Linked DNA regions of Arabidopsis thaliana. The protein of the gene in region 2 interacts with the protein of the main gene of each other region in a pairwise test. Each region holds a gene or a part of one and is shown on either strand. Other genes may lie near its edges.

Evidence for each region. Proteins that work in one complex are often made in the same cells at the same time.
Region 1: the proteins of TON1A (region 2) and LNG2 interact in a two-hybrid assay, tested with the Arabidopsis thaliana proteins (one study listed by BioGRID).

Annotation. Positions count from the first base shown.
Region 1 is NC_003074.8:393,744-402,731, forward strand, and holds LNG2 (longifolia2), read right to left. Parts: upstream 6,218-8,988; 5' UTR 5,651-6,217; coding exon 5,494-5,650; intron 5,363-5,493; coding exon 5,310-5,362; intron 5,215-5,309; coding exon 3,574-5,214; coding exon of another isoform or gene 3,520-3,573; exon of another isoform or gene 3,482-3,519; coding exon 3,331-3,481; coding exon of another isoform or gene 3,299-3,330; exon of another isoform or gene 3,181-3,298; coding exon 2,465-3,180; 3' UTR 2,269-2,464; downstream 1-2,268. Other genes in the region: AT3G02160 (Bromodomain transcription factor), read left to right, coding at 872-2,065. UniProt on the Arabidopsis thaliana protein: In association with LNG1, regulates leaf morphology by promoting longitudinal polar cell elongation independently of ROT3. Associates with microtubules and recruits TON1A and TON1B to the cytoskeleton through its C-terminus.
Region 2 is NC_003074.8:20,377,930-20,385,392, reverse strand, and holds TON1A (tonneau family protein), read right to left. Parts: upstream 3,934-7,463; 5' UTR 3,782-3,933; coding exon 3,695-3,781; intron 3,502-3,694; coding exon 3,369-3,501; intron 3,264-3,368; coding exon 3,175-3,263; intron 3,073-3,174; coding exon 2,950-3,072; intron 2,450-2,949; coding exon 2,325-2,449; intron 2,232-2,324; coding exon 2,206-2,231; intron 2,111-2,205; coding exon 1,954-2,110; intron 1,859-1,953; coding exon 1,816-1,858; 3' UTR 1,515-1,815; downstream 1-1,514. Other genes in the region: TON1B (tonneau 1b (TON1b)), read right to left, coding at 154-276, 381-469, 735-867, 1,176-1,262. UniProt on the Arabidopsis thaliana protein: Involved in the control of the dynamic organization of the cortical cytoskeleton. May play a role in the organization of microtubule arrays at the centrosome through interaction with centrin 1 (CEN1).

The DNA.
Region 1 (8,988 bases), about 20 Mb from region 2:
ATTAAAAACATACTGTATCAAACAAGATTTGGTTTTGAACTTTTGATATGTTTTGTAACGTCTTTTTATTGTTGGGCCAACCACTAAGACCCATTAGTTTGAAATTCTGTTTGATAACCTGAAAGCCCATCAACGCAAATAATTGTATCCTTTCTAATTATTACATCATCGCTGTAATAATCTTAATCTTACTATATATGAAAATAAATAATTCTTTTTATAATAAAGATTAATTTAATTTCCTTAAAAATGAAAAAAATAGTAATTGCCTTTAATTTTCTTTAAAAAAACTCAGTAGTTCCTCTCTATAAAGTTAACGAAAATCTCAAACTTGGAAAATCTCCCACCCTTCTTTTTCTTCGCCTTCTCAAATTGGATCGAAAGTTTTAAACTTGGAGCTGGGTTTTTGATTCGCATGCGAAATTTCCTCAATTTCGTTTGTTGGTGCTTTCAATTTCACTTCTTCGCTAGCATTTTCTCTCACTGTGTTCGCCGCCGATAGCTGCCCAAGTTGTGTCTGTTCTTCTTCCCCGGTGAATTTTCAGTGGATAAAGCTTTTTCTCCGGTAAAGCATTTTACTTCTCTTAATTGGATTCGTTAACTCTCGCTCTCGAGTTTGCTTTGTTGCTTTCTACTGCTTTAAATTGAACCCGAAACGTCTATTCTTAGTGACCGGAACAAAATTGATCTTTCATTAAGTTCAATTCTTCGTTTTTTAGTCACTTTTGGGTTTAGTATAAAATTGATTCTGATGTTTTATTCTCTCTTATTTGTTCTTAGGTGCCTAAGAGAAGACTTTCGAGGGAAAGATATTGGCTTTTGTTTTGTGTTCTGAGAGGGATACGTGTTGTGTTGGTTTTTCACTCAAGAGATGGTTCTACATGTTATGTTGGGTGAAGTTGTAACAAAGTTTTTGAATATGAACAATGGAGTTGGGGAAGGTGGAAGTCAGCAAAGAGAATTACATGGTAAGAGAAAGCTTTTCCGAGGCAATGATTTCGCTTTTTCCATAGCGAGAATGGCAGTGGCTCAGATATGCGAGAGTGTTGAGGTTAACCCGTATCAGGAATCACAGACACGTGAGGGTGTGAGGTTTAGTTCTTTTCAAGAATCTGCTCTTGATACACTAACTGATGTTGCGGTTCAGTATATTCAGAGCATTGGGAAGACTGCTCATTTGTATGCTAACTTAGCCGGTAGAGTAGATGGTAATTCTCTGGACATTCTTCAAGCATTAGAGGATTTGGGATCTGGTTTGGGTTTTGCTGGTGTTTCTGATACTGACCATTGTCTTGCTGATTCCGGTGTAGTCAAGGATATCATTCGTTATACTGGAGAAGCAGAGGAGATACCGTTTGTTTACTCTCTTCCTCGTTTCCCATTTAGTAAAGAGAAAAAACCTGCTCCTAGTTTCTCTGAGGTTGGAGCAGAACCTCCAGATGAACACATTCCTGTTTGGCTTCCTGCATTTCCCGAAACCGAATTGTGTGATCGATCAGAGGAAACTAATGCAGCCACAATCGAAGGAGAAATTCCTAGTAAAGAAAATGGTTCATCTTTACCGAGTATGCAACTTTCTTTCGATGGTGGTGGTAGGTTAGAAATACATAAATCTTCAAAGGATGTTGGAGAATCAACAGAAGCAGTAGTCGAAGGTAACCTGTTTCTAACTGCGCCTCTTCGATTTGTGGAGAAAAATGTGTCACCTGTGGTCCGCCCTTTGGAGCTTTCAAATGAAGTTGTTAGGACCAACCACGTTCCTGATAAGCATGTGAGGAACAACCATCACATCCCAATTCTTGAGGCATCTGCTCCATCGGATAAAATCAACAACAAGAACTGGTTAGCTATATCAAAGGATGTAGAGAAGGTAGATGTTGCAAGAAAAGAACTAACTTTGGTACGTTTCAAGATAGGGACTACAAAAAGATCTATGTGTTTGGCAAAAAATCGGAGCTTCCAGGAAGAGGGTTGGTTTCAAGAAGGTGAAGACAAGAGGGAGAAGACGTCAGAAATCAAAGAAAAGCGTGAAAGAATTGACTCGCAATTGTCAACTCAGATGTAAAATAGGTATTATGTCATTTTAGAATTTGCAGACAAAATAGCTTTGCATCCTGAGTTTAGTGATCGTTTGCAACTGGAATACGTTACTTTTTAGGGTAAGAAATGTTTACTAATTCAAAACGATGGAGAAATAGATGGTTGTTTGGCATTTAACTTGATTTGCAGTGAAATATTAGTTTGACAGACCAATAAATATGCTCTTTGCACTTTTTGGTATTATCTATGAACTTAAATACTGTTATTTATTAATTAGACCTGTATATATATGCTGGTTACAACAAACAAGTGGGAAGAGAACAGAACAGGCAAGAGGGCTGAAAACCCAGAGACTAAAGGTTCTCTTCCTCTCTAAGATAACTTCATTTACAAATCTAAGTGATAACTGATAACCTTAAAAAAATTAGCAGAAGCAAACTTCATTAACCAAGTCTCTGAAAATCATTCTCTCAATATCTAACACAATTCCTGGAGTCTCTCCTTCAAACTCCTTCAAGTTCATGCTTTGACTTTGCAGGTCCTCCCATATGATGTCTTCCTCGTCGTCCTCCAAGATACAGTTTGAGTTGTTTTGTTGTAACCTATCAATCTCTGAACACAGAGTCTGCAGAAGTTGCTCCTCTTTTGATATTTTCTCCAATTTTTTAAGTGGATTTGCGATTAAACGTGGTTTGATGCAGCCTTCTGCAGTGAACTTCCGAGCTAAAATCTCGTTAACGGTGTCGAAGACGAGTTTTCTCCTGATTGTCTCTGTTGGGTTTGTCTGCTGTTGTCTGAATCCTCTACCTCTGTGTTTGTTGTCCGGTAGAGTCACATTACTGGCCTTGTTCTGTTCCAGGATAAAGAACAGTCCAGGGTTGATCGGGAGGCGCGTTTGGTGCAGCTGAAAGCTTATCATGCTGTATTCAAGATCTCTTAGAATCCCTGAGGCCAACAATATCTCTAAGATGTACTTGTGGTTGCCGCTTTTGAAGTCTGCACCTTCTTCAGGTGAGCATTCAAAATGATCAGAACTTGGCTTCATTGGTCCCCGGTTACTCTGAGGAAATGGTACGGATCTGCAGAAGCTGGTAGGCTTGTTTATCCACTCAGATTCTTCAGAACGTAAGGCATCCTCCTCTGTGGCAAGAGAACAAAAACACGGTGAGAACTTTATACTAACCAAAACCTTGTGAATACATGTAGTTAATAAGCATCGTGAACACGTAATTGTTAGTATATATGAATGAGTCACTAATCAGTCTGAATGTTCTTTTCTAAGTGCCTCACCTTTAAAACTAAGGGATATCTTCCTCACAGGGGACGGTGAATCCTCTTCGTCGAAGACTGCATCAAGAACTGAAACAGGGCTCGGTTGTTCAACGGTAACTTTCAGAGGTTTTAGGGACGGTCTGTCTTGTTTGATTCCAAAGTCTGGACTCTACATTGGTAGACAGAAGAGATTCAGTTTATTGAGTACTAATGAATTAACTTGAGAAGTGAAGATACGTGAGATAGAGATCTATTTAGTACCCTTTGTTTGGGGGTGTGCTGCTCTGGGAAGTCACAGTTCCTCTCCAGCCTATGTCTGCTTGTAACCTCGATGTCAACATTCGATCCCAAGCTTATGTTGCTGTCAGACCTTAGACTCCTCAAGTCGCTCCTTGCATCGCTTAATCGGTCATCAGGTTGCTGAAGAGTACTGTGAGGTTTTATCATCTGTTTTCTTCTCGGAGAGGCTACCTCTGTTTGCTGCCTTCCGAGTTGCCTTTTGCCTGGCTCTGATTTTGGAGTTGTGGGTCGAGTCTGTTTCTCGAACCCGAGCTTTTTTGGCTGTGTTCTTGGGCTGACACTGTGCTGTTGGCTCCTACCTGACTTGGTCATGGAACCAGCATCTGCAGCCAAAGCTTGCCTCGACCGTACTGTTTTTGGGCTATTGCTCTTCGTGGAATCGAGTTGGCCCTTGTAAAGGCCTGGCCTTGGGGTTAAATCCATTGCGTTCTGCTTCCCTGAGGTGACTTTCCGGGTTTGTCTAGAGTTTCCAACCTTGACATTTGGTAGGGTGACATTCTGTGGCAGCGGAGAGGTGGAAACTGGAGCTGCAGATTTCATAACAACGATCGATGAAGATTTGAAGTTCCTGGCTGGACTTGTTGCAGCTGAAACTGGCTTGTGAGTTCTCTGCATAAGAGTGGTTGTACTCAGAGTACCGTCGTCCCTGCTTTCATCTATCAGCTGCTGCGTTTTCTCCATAGCCTCAAGTATTTGCTTAAGAGCTCTGAGATCTTTTCCCGACTTTTTGAACTCCAACTGCGTAAGCCGCTTCTGAATTTCACCATATACCGTCAGTGCAGAGTCTCCTGCTTTCATTTGCTTCCATGGAGCTGGTTCCATTGGAAACTTAGAAGCAGCTGAAGCAGGTATCCTCTTGATCGAATCTACGCTTCTAGATCTCTGTAGAGCTGTTGGTTCCACTCGGGACATTGGCCTTGGAGAGTCACAAAACCGGTTCTCTCTTCTCTGTTCAGTATCAGAATTGTCTGCAATGACTTCAAGACCCATCAATTTGGCAACAACACTAGAACTCGATCTCCTGTGAGTCATTGTTGCGGGTTCCTCTGGACAACTCGATCTCGCAGCATCTGCTCTCGGACTCCTAAAGGAATTGGATCTACTATCCAACGACAACCTCGGTGTCTCTTTCAACTTTGAACCCACCCTGAATCCGTTGTTTCTCATCTCCCTCTCATCATAAGAAAGCCGGTGACTTTCCTTAAACTTCATAGCCGCTCCTCTTCCTTCATTCCACTCATTAGAACTCCGACATGGTGAACGCAATGATGATTCTTTGAGAAGCAACATGCTACTTCGAGCTGAAATGGGCTGCTGCTGCTGAGTGAAGGATGCTTCTTCACCTCTAGTTCTAATTTCTCTATTAATAGAGCCTTTGACAAGCTCCTTTAGATCATACGGCATCATCAAGCCACCATTGGGCTGTTCTCTGATCAGATTCTCACCAGGCTGGTCAAATTGAGAAGCTGTGGTACTGACTTCTGCAGACGAGAAGCTAGAGGAGCGTGGAGAAGACGAAAATGAAGGTCTTGAAGATGATTCAAAAGAGACTCTATGCTTCTCTTTTGCTGCAGACTTCTTCTTTTTGGTACTACTCCTCTCCTGCAATCCCATAAAAGTCTCTGTTTCTTTCAGTTTGTGTTTCCTGAATTCTCATTCTTTAGAGACGAGTAAATAAACTGAGTTCAGATTCTTACCGTTTCTTTATCACTTTCCATGTTGGTTTCACCGACGCTACCTCTTCTTTCCCCTGCAAAAGTTAACCCCTTGTTCTTAGCTATAAGCCTATAACCATATTTTTGGTTCTAGTGAAACTACTCTGTTTCTTTGTGGTCCTAAACACTCAACTGAGATTTAGAAGAGAGAGAGAGTTTAAGTTACCTGGAGGCAAAGACTTCTCTGCGCCGCCGGAGACGGTGACTGGTGTCGCGGGACAATGTTGCCGGTAAAACACTTGAAAGATCCCATTCATGCATCCAAACTGTTTATTCAGATTTGGATTCTCATCTGACAAGTTATATAGAAGTTTTGCAGACATATCTTCTTCCTCTACTTAACTCTTATCTCAAAAACAAGATAACTAAAAAAACTTTCACAAACTCAAGTTTCTCTTCATATATATACTCTGTTTTTTGGAGTTACCAGTTTCTTCGTCTTTTTACTCTGCTCAGGGGTTAAAGATGTTTTTCTTGTGTTTCAGAGGAAGAAGAAAAGAAGAAATGGACAAGAAGAAGCCAACATTAACGACAAATTATAGCTTCTTGTGAAGTTACGAGCAGACAACAGATTAGGTTCCTCCGTGTTTGGCTTGGAGGCTACCTTGAAGAAGAAAGAAGAGAAGGGGGAAAAAAAAAAAGTTTTTTTTTTGTTTTTGGTCTTTGAGAGAGAGAGGTTTCTATCTTTAAAGGCAAAGATACAACTGTCAAAGGAGGCTTTGAAGTTTGAAGCATATATAATGTAATGCATGTACATGTGTTAACATATAAAGTTTATACATGTATGAGATTTTATGTATTTTAGTATTATATACACTAGTAATCTTATATATTCTTTAATTATGTCAGAGCTCTGAAAAATTCTGCTCGCCAAATAATGAGGAATCTGTTTCATCTCCTAAGATGATAGTTACGCACATGACAGCACAAGGCAACTTATTTAGAGAAAACAAAATTAAATGCTTTTTGAAATTCGGAAAAAATTGGTTATATTTTGGATCTATTATAAGAAATGTTAGGCATGTTTATCTATTCATTGATTTATCTCAAATTGTCAATGAATGAGAAATTGATACATTTTATAATACATATTTTTTTTCTCTCCAAATATGACTCTCTCTTTTTTTCTCTTAGAAGTTTTATCTATTTTAGCAAAAAAAAAAATATTTATCTATGAGTTTTGATAATTAGCTAAGTTAGCCTTACACATCCATGTGAACAAAATAATGTTGGTGGGTCTTTATAAGTCTTGGTGCCTCTTTTACATGTGCATGTGGAGTTTGTCAGGAACACACAGCATTTGATAATACATATATTTATCTTAAAGGATAATAAGAGATAATAAATAAAATTTGTATTCTAATGGCAACATAAAATCAAAATAAATTATTAGGGGGGAAAGTGGATTGGTGAACTGGAAGAAAGCTTGCATGGTCTGAGATTGGTGGGTCTTTCAAACTAGGATATTATTATTTTAAATTTGTCAATATTATTTAGTTATTGAAAATAATTAATTTTGGGTACTTTGATTCATAGACTTCAATAGTTTAGCGAGAGACTGATGCATAATAATGCATGCATATGCAAATGCAAGTTAAACAGTTAAAGCAAAATATGGATTCAAGTTTCTGCATATACGAAGGACCACATTTTTGTGAATATCCACAAACACTAAATATGGTTTGTCATAAATTATAGTTTATTAAAGAGTGGCTATTAAAAAACCACATTCAAAGTTTTGGATAATGTGTCGTGTATTAATGTGTGTTTGTAACTATGTCCACTAGGTGAAGATGAATTATAGGTTATTCAACATTATATTAAGTAAGAATCGATTCTAGATGTCGACACAGCTTATATAGACTACATCTTCTACTTTATATATACATACATGAATTTGGTATTGGAAACTGTATCCGATCTCATATTAAAAAATAAGCCAACTTCATTTGTTTGATTCTTTCGATTAAACACCAATAAATATCATGAAAGGAACCTATTTCTATAATTAGATGGCTACTAAGACATTATTGTGCAAGGTTCTTTTTACTCATACATCTCTTTCCTGTTGTTAAGAGTATGCGTCAAATCAATATAACAATAATGAATTTATAGCCAGGCATGCATAATTACTTTAACCAGTTAAAGATTGTGATATTTCAGCGCTCTTAGATCCCTAATCGAATAGTAGAGTGATTTATTTAGTGGATGATGTTTTAAGTGTTGTGGACAAAACCACAAGTTGGTTATCAAACTGAAGAAACGATTAGATCAAAAAGTTCATTACTTTCTGATTATTAAAAACAATTAGTCGGTTGCTTAATGTATTAAATAAAGTGCTTAAGATGATGTAATAACTTTTTGCATGTGAATCATTCAACATTAAGGAATCTGGCATATAAAATGAGGAAGAAAATTATTATATATATGGAATAAAGTCGTCGTCGTCTTTTAGTATTTTGTCTTGGTTGATTTGAGGGTTTATGTCCTTAGATGTACTAATCACAAAAAGCTTGTGGGCATATCACGTGCTTTGTTCCACAATGTGCTGTGAACCAGGTGGGGTTTGTGACTTCTTATCTATTTATTTTTTCATAACAAGTATATTGTTTGCTATTCATATAAAAAAACAAAATTAATTGATTTGACCTTGGAAGTACCGAGGAATATACTATTACACATGGGTATTAGGTTTTGCTTTCAAATATTGTACCATAATCAATTTCAAGCGCGTTACCTTTATGTATGATTTGATGGTTTGAATTCTTGGGTCGTTTTTCAATTTTATGCACTAATAACAATTTGTGAGTAACAACAGATTATAGCTAGCATAACCTTATTTAAGCTTACTGCAAATGTATTATGTAAACTTCATGCAATCTCTTGGTTGCTTGTGTTTAAACAATTTTGTTATCATTACCAAAGATTAACTAATCACTGTTTTAGAAACGAGAGTATGTGTGGGTACATAGTTAGAGATGAGCCACCATTTTTGGGGAAAAACTTTTGAGTGTCAAGTTGATAAACACATATATGATTATTACTAATTGACACTCATTTCTGCGAATAAATCTTATAACGATTCTTGGATGATATTGTGTATATAGATGGTTTCATGATTGCATCAAAGTAATAAACAGCGTGGTTAAAATGTTAAACTGTGAAATGAATGATAGATTAAAGAGATATACACTTCGAAAGACTATAAATAGCATGTAACCTTCAGAATAAACTGGTTGACCAGTTATATGACCTTTTTTCTTAGATAAAGATATGTGTAGATGAAATGCACCAAACATACTTCACCCGTTAAGATGAGATTAATCTATAATCTCGTAATCAAAGAAAAATAAAGGACAAAATTAAGAGGAAAAATGGGAAAAGAATAGACTAGTGAAAAAGAAAAGACAAAGGGAACAAAAACAAAGATAGAAAAGGGAACCAAATCACATGAAGCAATTGGGTATGTGACTTGAGTGTTAGGGTTGATAGGGAACCAACTAAGCAAAATGCATTTTAAATGCTAATGAGAATTTACTAAAATCAATCAAAAGTTAAGTGTGTATACTTTTACGTTAAGTTTCAAAGTTCAAGTTATCTAGTTCAATTATTGGCACATGATCCCACTTATCACCCACCCATCCAACATTTGTTTAATTTC
Region 2 (7,463 bases):
GAGGAACTGTAAACATTAACGCCCTGAAATCATGTACCATAGCTGGACTATTGTAATGTGTAACAAATATGGTTGTAAAGCTTGTAAACAGAGAAAAAAAAAAAAGCTATACTGTATGTGTAAACATCTTCAGAGAGAAAGCAGAAGAAATACCTCGAACTTCAAGAATCCTTCAAGAACATCCAGAAGAAGCGGTCTACTATCTTCATTTCTGTTGAGCTCATAACCATTGTTGATACTAAAGTCACGTATCTCAGACTTCCAAGAATCTTTTGCCTTTGCATAGGTTTTCAGGGATCACAGCATCAGTTAGAAAGTTCATCTTCAACGTACTTAAAAGAAATATCAGAAGTTCAAAGAAAATGAAATATATTGATTACCGAATTGCATTCTGGTTGATAAACTTTAAGCGTGTGATTTAATTGCGCCCAGTCCAAATATTCACAAATCAATGCAGATAGCAACCTGCCTGCATTTTAACATTTTATAAAGTGATCAAGATGACCTACTCAACTACACAAAATCTCAATGTTCATATCGCCTAAGAATAGAAGCAAGCAAAGTTTCACCCGAAAAAAACAAGGAGACACATTTCGAACAAGCGAATATATCTAAGTATCAAGAAAGCATTTCCAAACCAAGACATGCCATTTAGAACCATACCATTCAAAGAGAAAAGGTCTCTGAAGGGTAAAAGTGAAGAGAAGATATGAAGGATAAAAATTGAGAAAGACCTGAAGGAGAAGCATGAAGCTGCCTTGCACGATCATTGCAGCTTCCCAACAAAGCTGGAGGCAGTCCTTCATTGTTCTCTATCACTCTATCCTCTTCTTCGATTGCCTCAAACACACTTGCACGGAGTTCAGCCTACAGAAACAACTAAAATTTCAGCAGAAGAATATAGAGAAAAAAAAACAAATCTTCAATCTCCAAACCAAATGTTAAAGAATCCAATTCAGCTGAGAAGGTACAATTTTTTCACAGACTCAATTTCAAAGTACGACAAAAACTGGGAATTCACATGATTCCAGATGCATAAAGTAGATCTGGAAGCACGAACCCTAGAAAAGCAATGTATGTTTTCTCTTCTTCTCTGTACTCAAATCTCTCTACGGAATTTGAATGAAGTATGTCACAGAACCAGAGGAATCGTGGCAAGAGAAAAACAAATATACCCGGATCTTAGCGAGAACACCTTTCTTCTCTAGGGTTCGAGTGACTAAGGTCTTGAGATCCATCATCTCTCTTGTATAATCGTCCATTGTTCTTACCGCCAATTTGACGGATCAGATCAAAATAACAGATTCCCTACTAATGCAATCGGATTATTTGGTCACCGGAGAATTCTACAATGCCGTTCTGAGAGAAGCTTTTGCGTCATCCAGAGTTGGCTTCTTCGATACTTTAGTTTAAAGTTTTAAACGAAGAAGCGAGAGAGAGAGAGAAGACTAAAGGGAAAACAAAAAAAAAGTACGAGTAAAACAAACAGTGAACACATCATTCAAAAACCTTGTTTATTACTAGAGACATAATAATTTTGGAGACACTAAAATAAGAAGCAAGTGAATGAAAATATTCAACCACATTGTGCTTTCTTTGATTCTTCTTTCTGAACTCTTCTCTTCCCATAACAAATCTCAAAAGAAAACATTTTACTGTTTCATGTTTTTTGTTCTCAAGGAGACAGAGGTTCGTGCGTTAAAAAAAAGGCTAATTGAAAACGCAGTTGCAAATAAAGGAGAAACATACATATATCACGTACACAAACCATTACTCTACTAATCCAGAAGCTGAAATGTTTATCCAAAGCCTAAATCAATCTCTCCCTTCTTCTTCATTTGTTCCATCCCTCACATTCCTACAACACAAGCAAGCCCGATGGATCAGATTTACCACAACTTGCTTTGTTTTCATTTCAATGTGGGATTCAATGAGACTTCCTTGAAAGCTTACCTCCAAGACGATGTTAAGTTCCGAGTTTTCCTATCAAGCTGTAGATTTTCCAGCGCCGCTGAAGCTCTTGTTACCTCTTCATGTGTATCTTGGTTACCTTGTCTCCAGTTGAATTCATCTTTTCTGTACCCAGATGTAGACAACCCGGCTCTTCTATCTGTAACATCTTGTCATATTTATTTGGTATCAAAAAATAATGAAGCATACGTATTTCAACCAATACTTCAAGAAACTAGGGAAATGATGACTCACCCGATGCTTGAGATGCAGAAACCGGCCTGCCCATTTATTTGAAGGTAAATAAAGCAATCATGTCGAAGAGTAACGATCTTTGATTTGGCATAATAATAAGAAGTTGAAGATATGTGTACCTTCGTTGAGGAGGTAAGCTATCAGAAGCAGATGATCTGCGAGGAGGATTTCTGGACTCAAGGCTTGATGACGACTCTGTTTCTGAATCTCTCCTTGAACTACTACCCATGCCCTGCGTCATGCTCTGAAGAAAAAATTCATTACAAAAAAAAGTTGATCACTACATCTGAGGAGCATACGGCAAAAACAGATGATAATGGTTTTAACTATGATAGGATGGAAACATGATTCTTAGATGTGAAGAGAACTTGAGGCTAGGAAATTTGCTAAACGTGTTTTTCAAATCTCTGAAGAACTCTAATCTCTACTAAGAGACTTTATTTTTCTTGGAAAACTGAATTTTACTATCTATAACTTCTTCTCTTGGTTGCGAGGACAGAGTACCAAGATTTTATGTAAGTTGGTGTTTGTAAAGCTTGGGTGTAAAGTATTGATCATCTTCACTTACATAATAGGAACTGTTAACACTACAACTCATAAATCACACATACTACAGGTGGACTATTGTAATTTGTTTAGAGTATGGTTGTAAAGATTGTAAACTAAGAGAAGAAGTTATAGATAGTAAAGTTCTGTTTCACACTTGGCTGCAAACATCTTCAGGGGAAAAAAAGAAAGAAATACCTCAAACTTCAAGAACCCTTCAAGAACATCGAGAAGGAGTGGTCCACTATCTCCATTTCTATTGAGCTCAAAACCATTGTTGCTATTAAAGTCGCGTAACTCAGACTTCCACGAATCTTTTGGCTTTGAATAGGTTTTGCAGGAGTTCACCAGATTAGTGAGAAAAATTCATCAACAATCTTCTTAATGAAACATAGCAAAAGAAAACGGGATTATATTGATTACCAAATTGCTTTCAGGTTGATAAACTATGAGCGTGTGATTAAGTTGTGCCCAGTCCAAGTATTCACAAATCAACGCAGATAGTAACCTTCCTGCATTTCAACAAAAATTTCAAACCAAGAGATGCCATTTAGAACCAAACCATTCATAGAGGAAAGATTTAAAAGGATAAAAGCAAAAACTTGTGAAGAAAAAACCTGAAGGAGAAGCATGAAGCTTCCTTGCACGATCATTACAGCTTCCCAACAGAGCTGGAGGCGGTCCTTCATTGTTCTCTATCACTCTATCCTCTTCTTCAATTGCTTCAAACACACTTGCACGGAGCTCAGCCTACAAACACAAATAAACTATCAGCAAGATTCCAGATGCATAGGCAATTAACAATATCGAGCATTTCGATCTGAATAGCAGGAACCCTAGAAAAAGAGTAATGTATGTATTTCAAACGAATCACTTCTCTGTTCTCATTTCCACTCAAAAATTTCTGCGAATAATGTATGGTAGAGAAGTAGAGGGAATTTACCCGGATCTTAGCGAGGACACCTTTCTTCTCTAGGGTTCGAGTGACCAAAGTCTTGAGATCCATCATCTCTCTTGTATAATCGTCCATCACAAAATCAAATCAAAGTAAGGAAAATTAGGGTTTCTGGGTGTAAAATTGGATTTGGCAAAATTGGGGTTTTTGGCCGTCGGGAGAGAAAGACGTTGAAAGATGATAAAACGAAAACAGTAAAAGAAAAATAAAAACAACACTTTTGCCAAATCATCCCCTTAAAGATTGATAGTTTCCACTCTCGTCCGAAATTTTAAATTTTGATCTTTTGCCCCCTATGATTGTGAAATGTTTCTTAAATGTTTTGTCTTATCTTCCTTTTTTGAACGAGAATATGATGTCAAGTTCACATTTTGAGATGTAACTCAGAGATCACAACACATTTGCATTCATGGACAGAAAAATCATGAAGTTCGGTCCAATATTGCCAAGCATATGATATGAAATGTGTATGAATCATATTAGTTGTTTGAGCATTTTCTAGTGATGACTGACTATTATTTGATATAGAATCTCAGAAAACGAATGAACAAATAAGCATTAGATTTTCCACTCGCAAGTTGGGTCAGATCAAGGGCAATCGCTCCTTCTTAGATTATAATATTGGATGGAAAGGCCTAACCTTGCTTGTCGTTGGAGTTGTATGAAACTTTGGTAACTTTAGTGTTACTCTAATGGATCAGTATCATCTAGTTGTACAATATTGACATACTACACTTACTAATTAAAAAAAAAACCAAATTAATTAGTTACATTCAAGCAAAATGGGAAAGAAAAAGCTAATGAGGATACGTGTTTACGAATGAGCATTTGAGTATCCAACGCTTTGGGTTTGTCAATGGGATGAATCGGAATAGAAGAAGGCCCAAGAAAGAAGAAAGTCCAAGCTCGACTCTTGTGTTAATTATTAAATACTATGTATTGCTTGTGATCTTATAACTTAAAGTAGAGAGAGTACTTGGAACTACTTTTCTTTCTTCTTGTAACTGTGTATTGCTTGTGGTCTTTTAACTTAAAGTGTAGTCGATTCTTCTTATAAGAAAGAAGCCAAGAAACTTATTTATAGAGTTTGAACCAAAGAATATGATCAAAAACGTATATAAATCCGATTTCTTCAGTTGTTTCTTGTTTCCATTCTCAGTTTTATTCACCTACTTCTGTTCTGCTTCTTTTTATTACCATTTTAGTCCAACGGTTATGTAGCTTAGTGTTTTCCATTTTGATGTCACATACTCACCCTCGCAAGTCTCACTTCCCTATATAGCTAAAAGAAAAGAATCAGAACTAGTTCAGGACTTAGGAGCACATGGTTTTTTGGAGAGGGTATTCTCGTCATTTTAAGCATTGGCTTTTGGGGGAAACGAGGAGGGGAAGCTACCACGTCGCCCAAAACTGTTCCCACATATATGCGTCAAACATTAAACCGAAAACGTTAAAACAATTTTTTTTCTTTATATAGAGATTTGACAACAAATAATAAAATAAAAATGCCCACCAATTATCAAAGAATATGGTTGAATCTTCAATTATTCAATTTTATAACGTGCTTCATGCGTTTCCACTCGTTTCTCTATCACCCCTTTTATAGATCTACTCTACCAACAAGCCCCATATTTATTAATCTTAGCAATCGCTTCTCAATCTCCCTCACATACAAAGTCCATAATTTTCTGGCCGGAGGCTAATCTTAGATAATATTTGTGTTTGACCTACTAACGTATATCATATTTTCCCCAAATGTATCATGGTGTAGTTCCTAGGTCTCGAATTCGGATCCAACAGAACCCTTCTAATCGATTGAACATAACCAACTATGAACTATATATATTTAGGTTAAATTAAAATTCTATCATGAATTTACTATATATGTGATGGAAAAAAAGATTCGGGATGAATGAGAAACTGGTTTTGAAGCTAGAATAGTTTTTAAAACACTTTAAAATCATGTGTTTATCAGATGTGGTTTCATAACACTATGTTCCTACTAAATACAAACATCCTAATTCGTTTTTTAAGCCAACAATATGAGTTTTATTCATATTTTAAGTCACAATCCTAGCTTAATATAAGACTTCAACAAAAAATTTAGCAAAAAATTTGGGTCCGAGTTGCAACCTACAAATAGATTGTGTTGTTTAGGTGTAGAAAATAGAGACTATAAACATAAGTGCATAAAGCACAAGGTTAACAAAGAAATTGACCCATCACTAGTAATATTCTGATAAAAATTTCAAAGCAGTTAAATATCAGAGATTTTTGCATATAGTACACGTTCAAGTATTTTAACCATTTCAAGAAATTTGAGTGGTAGACAATATTTCAATTTTCGATTGAGTAATAAACTTTGAAGTGTGTAGATGACTTCAAAACACATTATCATTGTGAATTATAGGGTAATACGTTATTGTGCAATGCAAGTTATTAATAATGTAAGAAAAAAGGTTACTCTTTTACCTATTGGAACTAGAATGAACAGAGATATTTAGTCTTACCAAATAAGGAAAGGCCGATTCCTTAAAATCTAATATTTTCTTGCATATCTGGATAAATTGAACGGCTGGGATTTGAGAACCAACTTATCATCAAATCTATCATAATTATTTGTAAAAAGAGAGATATAGATTTGGAGTGAGTGATTGGTGAGTGGTTGAATAATATGACAATTGACATAACCCCACTGTCCCTCTGTCTCCATTAAGGTTTCTCTCTCTTCCTACTCTCAATACAATAGTAGTAGTTGGCATATTGGACCCATCCTTTTTTTTTGGTTTAGGCCCCAAACGTGTAAACATCACACCATCTCTCTTATTCTTTATTCATTGACTATAACACATTTATCATTTTATTGTATAGTTTATGTTGTGGTCTAGATTATCATCTTTCTTGTTCCTCCAATAATTTGGAATTGAAGATCCATCCCACTAGTGATAAAGAAGAAGAAAAAAAAGGCTTGAGGATGAATGTGTTAAAGAAGGATAGTTAAAATATTTTAAATGGTTTATTTAAATTTATGACAGTCCATTTGAAACTCCTTTTCTTCACCAATATTTCAGTATAAAGATGAAATGCAAATGGTATCTCCTTCTTATAGATTAAACCATAACCTAAATCAACTCTTACGAAATCTCAGTTGATTGTGATTTATGTATATTGGGATGCGAAAGCACAACAACTAGGTTTAATTTCTTCTAAAATGTGTGATAAATAAAATATAATATAAAACTAACAAAAAAAATCTGTCGGTCTCTCTAATTTTTCGTTGCTATGTTTTATCCATATATCGTAATCTTTAATTTAAATGGAAAAGGGTTGTCCTTTGGCAAAATAAAGAAAAGAAAAAGAAAAAAAGATAGAGAAAGGATTGTCCTGATTCGTTAAATGACGCATAGAGAAACAAAATCACATGTGGGTTTATTTAACACGTTGAGAAGATACCATTGCGACGCGAAGTACCAAAAAATCCCTGACCGTTAGATTTTTTTTCATATCTTGACACGTTGGAATCACACGAGGGACCTATCAATAATTGTTGTCGCTAAATGCCAAATTTAATGAATTTTATCGAAAAATAATGACCTAATTTTATTACTAAAATGCAGAGAGTAGACGATGTTAACCGGTTAATTTTGTTGTTGAATGCTTTAAAATGTGAAATAACTATGTTGAATTGTGTTTCATATTTTCTTTTTTAATCGTATAATTTACTAACATGTTAGAAGAAATTACAAATTCAGATATA